Callithrix jacchus: one gene and its partner. The protein of the gene in region 2 purifies or fractionates together with the protein of the main gene of each other region. This does not show direct contact. Links are inferred from orthologs where the notes say so. Each region holds a gene or a part of one and is shown on either strand. Other genes may lie near its edges.

Region 1 (4,454 bases), on a different chromosome or scaffold from region 2:
AGCAGGGAAATGCTCAAGGGGCCAGCTCCACTCCTGGCCCTAGTCCTACTCAGCCAATGCCAACTGAAAAAACCCACGTCCTCACCTTGCAAAACCCTGAGGCAGCTCACCCAGGCCGTAAAGCGGGTATAAATACGGGCTCTTGCCATACCGGGCCAGGGACTCACTGTACAACTTGATGCGGTTGATGGTCTCAAGACAGGGCTGGTCCAAGTAGCTGGGGGACAGGGGTAAGGGAAGATGCTCCAATAGCAGCACCCTTGACTCACCACCACCCAGGTACCAGGCCAGTCTTCCCACCACCCTGAATGGCCTAGGGAACATGAAGATCAAATGCAAGGGGGAAATGGAAAGGGTGATAGGTGAGCCTATGGCTGAGTACAAGAGACATGCGGGGCAGGGGAACAGCAGGCAGGTGTGGGGAGGGAGGAGGCAGGCCGGGCGAGGGGGCTGCCGCCACACCAGCTTCCCTCACTCATCAGTGCGGTAGAGCGCCAGGGCGTGGCCAGTGAAATCGATGACATCCTGGCCCAGATCAAACTTTCGGTAGACATCACGCATGCTGGTAGTCTGAGGGTCAACACCCTCAAAGGTCTTGGGGTCATTCTCATCGAAGTTTGCCACAAACACCAGGAACTTGCGGAAGCGCCGTTTCTCAAACATGCCCATCAGATCTAAGGCAGGCGGCAGGACGAGGTTCTGCACCAGCGCAGCACAAAACTCTCCTTCCCAAAGGGCAGGGCCCCACTCCCAGTGTAGCTGTTGTGGGACCTTAGCTCAACCCCTCCGCTCTTTTCAGCCTCGGTTTCCCTGCCTCTATGAAGAGGGGACTGGCCTGGATGGCTCTAAGGGCCTTCCTTGCTCGGACATTTGGGGATGTCTCGGGGATCCAGTGGAGCCCCTGCCAAAAGGTCAAGTCTTTCCAAAGGAGCCCTGTCCTCCTCCACGTCACATCCCTGCTGCGTGTAGGCCTCTCTCCTGGCAGCCATCCGTGAGGCATGGCATGGGGCAGAGAGGATACAGAGTGAAGGGCCTCTGGTTCTTCATGGGGAATGTGACTTTGGACAAGGGGGTGCCTTACTCTGGACAGCCACCCATCCCAAGGACAGTCAACTTCCCTGCCACCCCATGATTCTCTGGCTCAGGGGGCCCACACTCACTGGAAGCCAAGGCCTCAGTCTCAGTGGACGGTACTTTGTAGATCTTGCCCCCCTTGTAGACAAAGCTGCCCTCCACCACCTTGAAGTCCAGATAGCGAGTCACCTCTGTATACAGTAGCATCTTTACCAGCTGCCCTGTGGGTGTGCATGGGGCAACATCGGCACTGCTCTCTCCAGAGTCTCTGCTGGTCTGGCTGCACCTCCCCATCACCCCGACCTGCAATATGTCCTTCCTGTCCCTCACCGTTAGCCATGAGGAATTTGGGAATGAGGTCAACGTTCCAGTCTCGGCCTCGGCCCATCGACTCAGGGGGCCCCTCCAGCAACTGAAAACGCTTATACAGCTGTAAGCAGAAGAGAGACACCTCAGGGACCATCTCCTCCTGCTCCAGGCACCTGGGGAGCTTCTTCTACCCTGTGCCGCTACGTGGGAGGTGAACAGGGATGGGCCTGGGCCCAGATGTCTCACCTCCTCCAGGGGTGTGATGGAGGAGCTCTCACCCCCATAGTAGGGGTTCCGGTCCATGTGCAGCACCTTCTTCCCGTTCACAGACATGATGCCCGACAGGATGCATTCCTGGAGGGAGGGCAATACCATCCTCTCACTCCTACCTGCCTCCCTTCCTACCAGCAGCCCTGATTTGTTCCCCACCCAAACCTGATCCAGTGGACAGCTCCTTCCACCCCCTCAAACCAGCTAGTTGCCTCGCCTAAAATTGGGGTGACAGCTTCATCTGACCACCGTCTCCTTTGTAACCTTGCTGGGCAAAGGAGTCCCATCCCCCTCACAAGGTAGGCAGTGAAATAATGGAGGCTCTGAGAGAGGCAGGGCATCCAGCAGACACAGGATGGCCTTCCAGTACCCACAAGCCAATGGACATGTATCTACGCAGAGCTGCACAGAAAGGCTGTTAAAACACAATGAGGCGCAGACGAGACCTAGCTGGACTGCGAAGGACACTCGAAAGGGAGGTGAAGAAAGGCTTAGCGCAGTCCTTGAAATTGTAGGCCCCACCCTGGACTGATCTTTCTTCAAATGGCGGGAGACCCTGCTGCTGATGAGGGGCATCTGGGCTTGGACTGAGAAAGAAGAGTCTCTCTGGGGAGCGGGCCAACGGGGTTTTTGGGGAAAAGGGGAAGATAAATACCCTCACCCGTCACTGTCACTAGCCCAAGGACAAAGGCTGCAGATGCTACTCAGCCTGAGGTCTCCATAGGCAACCGGGGTGGGGTTGAGGGAATGTGCTTACTGCCCCCACCGCTGCTCCTTCTGGAACATTCCCTGGATCCCCTGGCCCCAGAAGACGAGGAGGTGGGCTGAGGGCCCACCCTGAGGAGGCCCCCTGACCCCATGTCCCTGTCCCTACCGGGATTAGCGCAAGATGGGAAGGGACGCTAAGCGGGCGATGGGTGCGGGCAACCTGCGGGAGGGGGGGAGATTCCGTGATGGGTGGGGGCGATGGGTGGGCGGGGTCGGGGCACCGGGCTTAGCTGGGGTGCATTTTCCGGCCCAGCAGGCACAGGGGTAGGAAAGATGGGAGGGTGCCGGGGGTCAGACCCGGGCAGCCAGGAAGGGGGCCCCTTCGGGAAGATGGGGTCATAGCAAAAAGCAGAGGCGACGTCGCGGGGGGAGCGGCGCGGGGAGCGGCGGGGTGGGCACGGTGCCGGCTTTTTGGAGAGCCGAGCGCATCAGATGGCAGTGACCGGAGGGTGGGCCGGCGGCCACATCATCGCGGGGGGTGGCGAGGGCAAGACACGGGGCCAAGAGCGCCTGGGGCCGCACTTACGGTGAGGCCGGTCCCCAGCACGATCACATCGTATTCCTCGTCCATGGTCAGGCCTCGGTGCCAGTGCCCGCTCGGCTCCTCCTCCTCCTTCACCGCCGCCGCCGCCGCCGCAGCACTGGACCAAAGATGGCGGCGTTTCGGTCGCCGCCTGACCCCTCCGCCTCGTCAAAGAGTCCCGCCTATTCTCGAGCCCCGCCGCGCCCGGCCAGATCCACCGTTTCCCCAGCTCGCCTCCCAGGAGACCTGCTAGGGCCCGGGCCACAGCACCAGCGCGGCTCCGAGGACGACGCTGCTCGCCGAGGGTCCAGAGAGGCGCGGGGCGGGGCGGGCGGGGCGGGCTGGCGGCCGGTACTGCGGCTAGGAAAGGATCCGTGCGCGGAGCCGCGCGCGCCCCGCCCCATCCTCCCCGCCCCGCCCCGCCCCGCGCGCGCCCGCCCAGCCCCGCGGGAGGCTCGGCGCGGTCCCGCGGCCGGGTGCGCGCCGCTGCGGCAGCCGGGGCAGCCCCCTCATGATACGAAGGCTGCCATTGTCACGACGGCCTCCCGAGTCGCCAAAGCGTAACGGGACTCGGCCCGACCGCCCCTTCCTGCCCTAAGTGGTTAGGGCCCACCCTGCTAAAGCCCCTCCAGGTCTCCGCGGATGCTTCCTCACCTCTTCCTCACCGGGCTCCATCCTCCCGCATCCCTCCAGCGAGCACGCACCTAAAGCCCAGTGCAGAAATGACCTACAAGAGGCCCAAATCGTGGCGATCCGCGTTTATTAGGAAGGAAACAACCGAGCACGCCAGGCTCCTGCCAGGCACTCCCGATGGGAACATGCCAGACAGCTGGAGATTGCACCCAGCCCACCTGGGGTGGAGGTCCCTTCCTTCTCAGGCCACAGAAATAAACCCCAGTGTACTGCTTATCATTAGCACAGCATCACCAGAAAACAATAACGACAGCAAAGCAGGTCAGACAGTTAAGTAGTACCTCCACACCCCCAAACTCAGGGAGCCCCATAACCTTAAGGAGAGAGCATTTGCTACATAAAAGCACTATCCACAGCCAGGGATGATGTAGACACAATAAATAAGGAGAAAGGGGACCCTAGAATTCATGTCCCTTACGCCTCACCGCGGCTGAGCCTGGGACATTGGTCTAGCATCTACGCAGAATTATGTACACCTTGTTGGTAGGGATGGGGGCAGCCCCAGGAAATCTCCTTAGTGGGCTGAACGGGGAGCAAGATGGGCTAAAGGGAGCTTGGGGTTCATGCTGTGGTAGGAAGAGGGACACTGTCCCACCCTCAACCCCCTCCTGGCACAGGGTCACACAATCTGGGTCAAAGAAATGGTGGGGCCCTTGTGGTCATCAAAGCGATCCATGGTCTTGAGGCTGAGGATCATGTGCAGGCCATAGGTGAAGATGAAGAGCATGAAGAGGGAGGTGAGCAGCCCCATCCATATGCCGGGGGAGAAGAAGCCGGCGCAGTCGCTGGCATAGGAGAACTGCTCGCCCATCACATT
Region 2 (4,237 bases):
GCTTGGGAAGATTGGGAAAAACATTTAGTACTAGAATTACTCTTCACTTAGGATCTCACAATCCTTGGGCTGTGTAGTAGTCACCTTATTTTACAGATGATAAACTCAAGCTGAGGGTTTAAGTCCCTTTTCTAAATTGGAACCAAATCTGGATCCATTAGACCTTTCTGTCTTACAGAACTTAGGACTTTTCTACCATTAAACCGCATTGTAGGATGTCACTGGGATGCTCAGGACCTGAGTCACAGGTCTGACATATGGGCCCAAACATGACAGATGCAGTAGAGCTGGTCAGACCAACCTGGATAAAATGCTTGACCCTTTTATCTCAACACAGCTCACACACGCTTTGCAGCACTCGGAAGGAATTGTGAGCTTTGTACTACCCCAGCCCCAGTATCTCAGTTGTAACCCTGGGGAGAAGTCTTGTTTTCCAAAGGAAAATGAGAGATAGGAAAACCTTAATATAAACCAGTGAGGCCAGCTGGGTGGCCCCAGAAAGAACTGGGTGTCTTGACACCCAATTCACACAGCAGGGAAAGGGGCTGGGTGTGATTCACAGTGCATTGATTTTATTTACAGATCAGAAGCCACTTAAATAATCTGCAGACACAAGTGCTGTCCAGGGCAGAAGCCTGGGGTCCAAATAAGCCCTTATCCCTCCTCATGCCCACAGTCAGCCCAATGCTGCCTCCGTTCCATGGGCCAGCACAGGCAGGTGCCACCTTTGCTGACATGAGGACCTGGGTTAGCTCAGACATTTGACTACCCAAGCCCAGTAAGGAACTGGGTCCAGCCGCTCTGGGGAACTCCTTTAATTCTCCCAGGCCAGGTGAGTGGTGAATCAGTGATGACAACAGCTGTAAAAGTAGGGGTTTGCCTTCTGGCCCAGGTCCACGCCCTTGTCCTCTGTCAAAGAAAGAGGTGGCTGCTCAGCACCATTCTCTTGGGATCAGGTAATTCAGAAAAGAGGCTAGATGCTGTGGGCCTAGAGTAAGTCCATAAAGGCTGGGAAGCACACCTGTCATCACCTGGAAGGCAGCCACACTGACGTAATCCTCTGCCACTTTCTGGAAGAGCTCATCTGGCAGGAAAAATGATGATCAATGAGGGCCCAATGCCAGTAGTCCTGGGATCTCCCAGTGACCCAGCCCTCTGTTCCCTATTCAGCTTCCTCTGGTGCCCCTGCCTGTTCCTGTGTGAGGCCCCAGCACAGCACTCACCCACACTCTGGCCTGTCTTGCTGGATGTTTCAAAGAGCTGAGCTTTGATATCTGTAAAGAGAAGTGACTAAAGCCTCATATCTGAGAATTAGATAAGCAGACAAAAGGGAGGACTAGCAGTTCAGGGAGTCTCCTGGACCCCACAGTTCAAGGAAGCTAGGAAGCCCTTCTAGAGTACCTTGCCCTAGCAGCCAAGGCAGTCCCTATTTTCTGTGATCCACCCAGACAGCCACACACCCCCACCCCCCAAAGGGTGAGGAACAGCTACTGTCTGCATAATCCTGGACGTCATGGAAGTCCACACGTCGACGCCTCCGGTCTTCTTCCAGCAGGTCACTCTTGGTGCCACATAGGTAGATTTGGCAGCCCTGACACACAAGACAAGCGTCACCTCCAAAGACCAACAGAACCCTAGCCCTTGGTCTTCTGGTGAAGTCTATTCACCTACCTCCTCTAGACTGCGCAGTTCCTTCACCCAGAACTTTGCTCGCTCAAAGCTGCTGCTGTCTGTGAGGTCTTGGTGTGGGGCATGCAGGAGACACAACCAAGTGATCAGGGGCTGTTCTCTGGTTAGCCTGGCACCCACTTCTTCTTGTGGGCCAGCCCAGAACTCCCCCTTACCATAGCAGACGATGGCAGCCTTGGCACCCCGATAGTAGATTCTACTCATAGCCTCATAGCGCTCAGAGCCTGCTGTGTCCTAAAGAGGAGGGACAGGCTCAGCCCTGGTCTGAGTCAAACTTAAGGCCATGTTCTCCAGACCCCACTATTTTCCAGATAAGGAAACGGGTCAATGAGAAACGAGTCTGTGAGGCCACAAATCAATCAGTAATAGGCAGGACCTAAGCCTCCTCAAGAATGAGACTCCCTAGAATAGATGCCCAGGGAACTTACCCAAATACCTAATGTCACAGTCCGGTCTCCGACCGACATCACCTTAGCCACGAAGGCGGCCCCGATGGTCTGCAACGAGAGGGAAGAGATTGGGGCCATAGGTGCAGATTACGCCCCCGCCCACCGTGCCTGGCCCCTCTGGGTGCACTCACGTTCTGATAGGGCCCCACCAGAAAGCGATCGTGCACGTAGCGCTCCACCAGGCTCGTCTTGCCCACGTACTCCTTGCCCAGCATCACCACCTTGACGTCTACGCGCTGCCCGCTCATGCTCCCGGGGCCGCTTCAGCCACGTCAGGGTCCTGAGCGGGGACGGGGGCGAACCCGGATCTCCGCTCGGCCCAGGCAGCGCCCAGGCCTCAGACCCCAACCCCAAACGGCGCCAACCAACGATTCGAGACAGCGCGATGGGGTCGAGCTCTGGCCGTGGCCTTGCACTTTCGGCAGCTCCCAGTGTGCCCCCGCTGTTCCGCCCCGGGCGCCGAATATCCTTCGAAGACCCCAAGCCCCGGGGCGGCCTGGGAGCGTGCGGGACAGCGTCCTCAACAGCGCAGCACGCCGCCGTGCAGCTCGCTACTCCGTCATTCGCTCGCCTGCGGGCTTAGACTCAGTTCCGGCTCGAGTACCAATCGAACCTAGGGTCTCCGGCAACCCGGCTTCTACCCGCAGCGCCGCGACTCCCGCGGGAGGGGGCGAGAGGGAGAGGGGGCGGGGCCGCAACGTCACGTGGCGCGAGCGCCGGAAGCGGTGGCTACCGTGTGGCTGCGCCGGAAGTGGCGCGCAGCCGGACAACTCATGGCGGTGGCGGCGGCGGCGGCAGCTGCTAGGGCGCGGTGCGGTGGTGACTGAGCCCCGAGCCTGGCGGAGGGTGTGCGCCGAGCCCCGGCCCGGCCCGGCCCCCGCGTGCCTCCCAGGCTCCGCACCCCTGATGCTGCGTGGGTGCTGAGCCCGCTCCGGCCGGGACGATGGTGAAGTATTTCCTGGGCCAGAGCTTGCTCCGGAGTTCCTGGGACCAAGTGTTCGCCGCCTTCTGGCAGCGGTACCCGAATCCCTATAGGTACGTGGTGTTTGGGAGAGCAAAACCCCACCATCTCGCTATTTGGAGATCAAAGTATGGATAATCCCCGAGTAATGGGACCAGAAAGAAGTTGACATCTAATCCTACGTAGACCTTATCGGGGAAGCGGCCAGGCCAGGCCTGCAAGGTCCTGAAGGGAGGTTGGGCCTGGGTGGTGGTTTACTTGATATCTTAATATAAGGTTCTTTTCTCAGGGTCGTGAGACAAGAAGGGGCGGCAGTAGGGGAGTTGGGAGGGATCTTGGGGTCGGAAATCCTATCCTCTGCTCGTGGCACTTTCCTGAGGTGCAGTAAATCATGAGGTCTATTGCTGCTGGAAGGCCCAGGAATCCAGGTCAGCCAGATGGCGGGAGTTGGAATTTGCCCTGGGATGGGCTCTTAACTCTGGTGTGAACCATAACACATACAACTCTGCAAGGTTACAGGAAGGCCTCTCTGGGCTTGGAGATTCCAAACGGGAATCCCCTCGGGCAGTCTCGGGGCAGGCTCCTGAGTGCCACCTTCACTGACTCCTGCAGCAAACATGTCTTGACGGAAGACATAGTACACCGGGAGGTGACCCCTGACCAGAAACTGCTGTCCCGGCGACTCCTGACCAAGACCAACAGGATGCCTCGCTGGGCCGAGCGACTGTTTCCTGCCAATGTTGCTCACTCGGTGTACATCCTGGAGGACTCTATTGTGGACCCACAGAATCAGACCATGACCACCTTCACCTGGAACATCAACCACGCCCGGCTGATGGTGAGACACCTCCTGCTGTGATCCTGCCTCCCCCACCCCCAAATAGAGCTCTTCAGATACGTGTGTCTAGAGAGCCATGAGGGAGCTTTTGTGGTCTGAGGCAGGTCTGGGTTACTGAGGAGTGACAGCTGTAGAGTATGACCTCACATTTTCTTCTTTTCAGCTGGTCAGCCTCTCTGGACCTGTCTGACGCATTCATACAGTAGGGGAGAGGTACCTCTCTTACTGAGTTGTCCTAAATTCTAAATGCAAAGCACTCCCATCAGGTATATGGCACAGAAGTGATGCTGAGTGGGAGAG

What was found.
Region 1: the proteins of RAB24 (region 2) and GDI1 purify together in Homo sapiens (affinity purification with mass spectrometry; 3 studies listed by BioGRID and IntAct, counting the BioPlex papers as one, with this or other methods). This does not show direct contact. The link is inferred for Callithrix jacchus from reciprocal best matches to the Homo sapiens genes RAB24 and GDI1.

What each region holds. Positions count from the first base shown.
Region 1 is NC_133524.1:150,231,713-150,236,166, reverse strand, and holds the start of GDI1 (rab GDP dissociation inhibitor alpha), read right to left. Parts: upstream 3,076-4,454; 5' UTR 2,993-3,075; coding exon 2,948-2,992; intron 1,738-2,947; coding exon 1,630-1,737; intron 1,505-1,629; coding exon 1,405-1,504; intron 1,296-1,404; coding exon 1,161-1,295; intron 675-1,160; coding exon 476-674; intron 218-475; coding exon 86-217; intron 1-85. Other genes in the region: ATP6AP1 (V-type proton ATPase subunit S1), read right to left, coding at 4,257-4,454. UniProt on the Homo sapiens protein: Regulates the GDP/GTP exchange reaction of most Rab proteins by inhibiting the dissociation of GDP from them, and the subsequent binding of GTP to them. Promotes the dissociation of GDP-bound Rab proteins from the membrane and inhibits their activation.
Region 2 is NC_133503.1:68,847,339-68,851,575, reverse strand, and holds RAB24 (ras-related protein Rab-24), read right to left. Parts: upstream 2,811-4,237; 5' UTR 2,387-2,810; coding exon 2,270-2,386; intron 2,187-2,269; coding exon 2,118-2,186; intron 1,924-2,117; coding exon 1,845-1,923; intron 1,740-1,844; coding exon 1,672-1,739; intron 1,592-1,671; coding exon 1,492-1,591; intron 1,275-1,491; coding exon 1,224-1,274; intron 1,085-1,223; coding exon 1,032-1,084; coding exon of another isoform or gene 1,022-1,031; intron 910-1,021; coding exon 766-909; 3' UTR 551-765; downstream 1-550. Other genes in the region: PRELID1 (PRELI domain-containing protein 1, mitochondrial), read left to right, coding at 3,082-3,173, 3,712-3,937.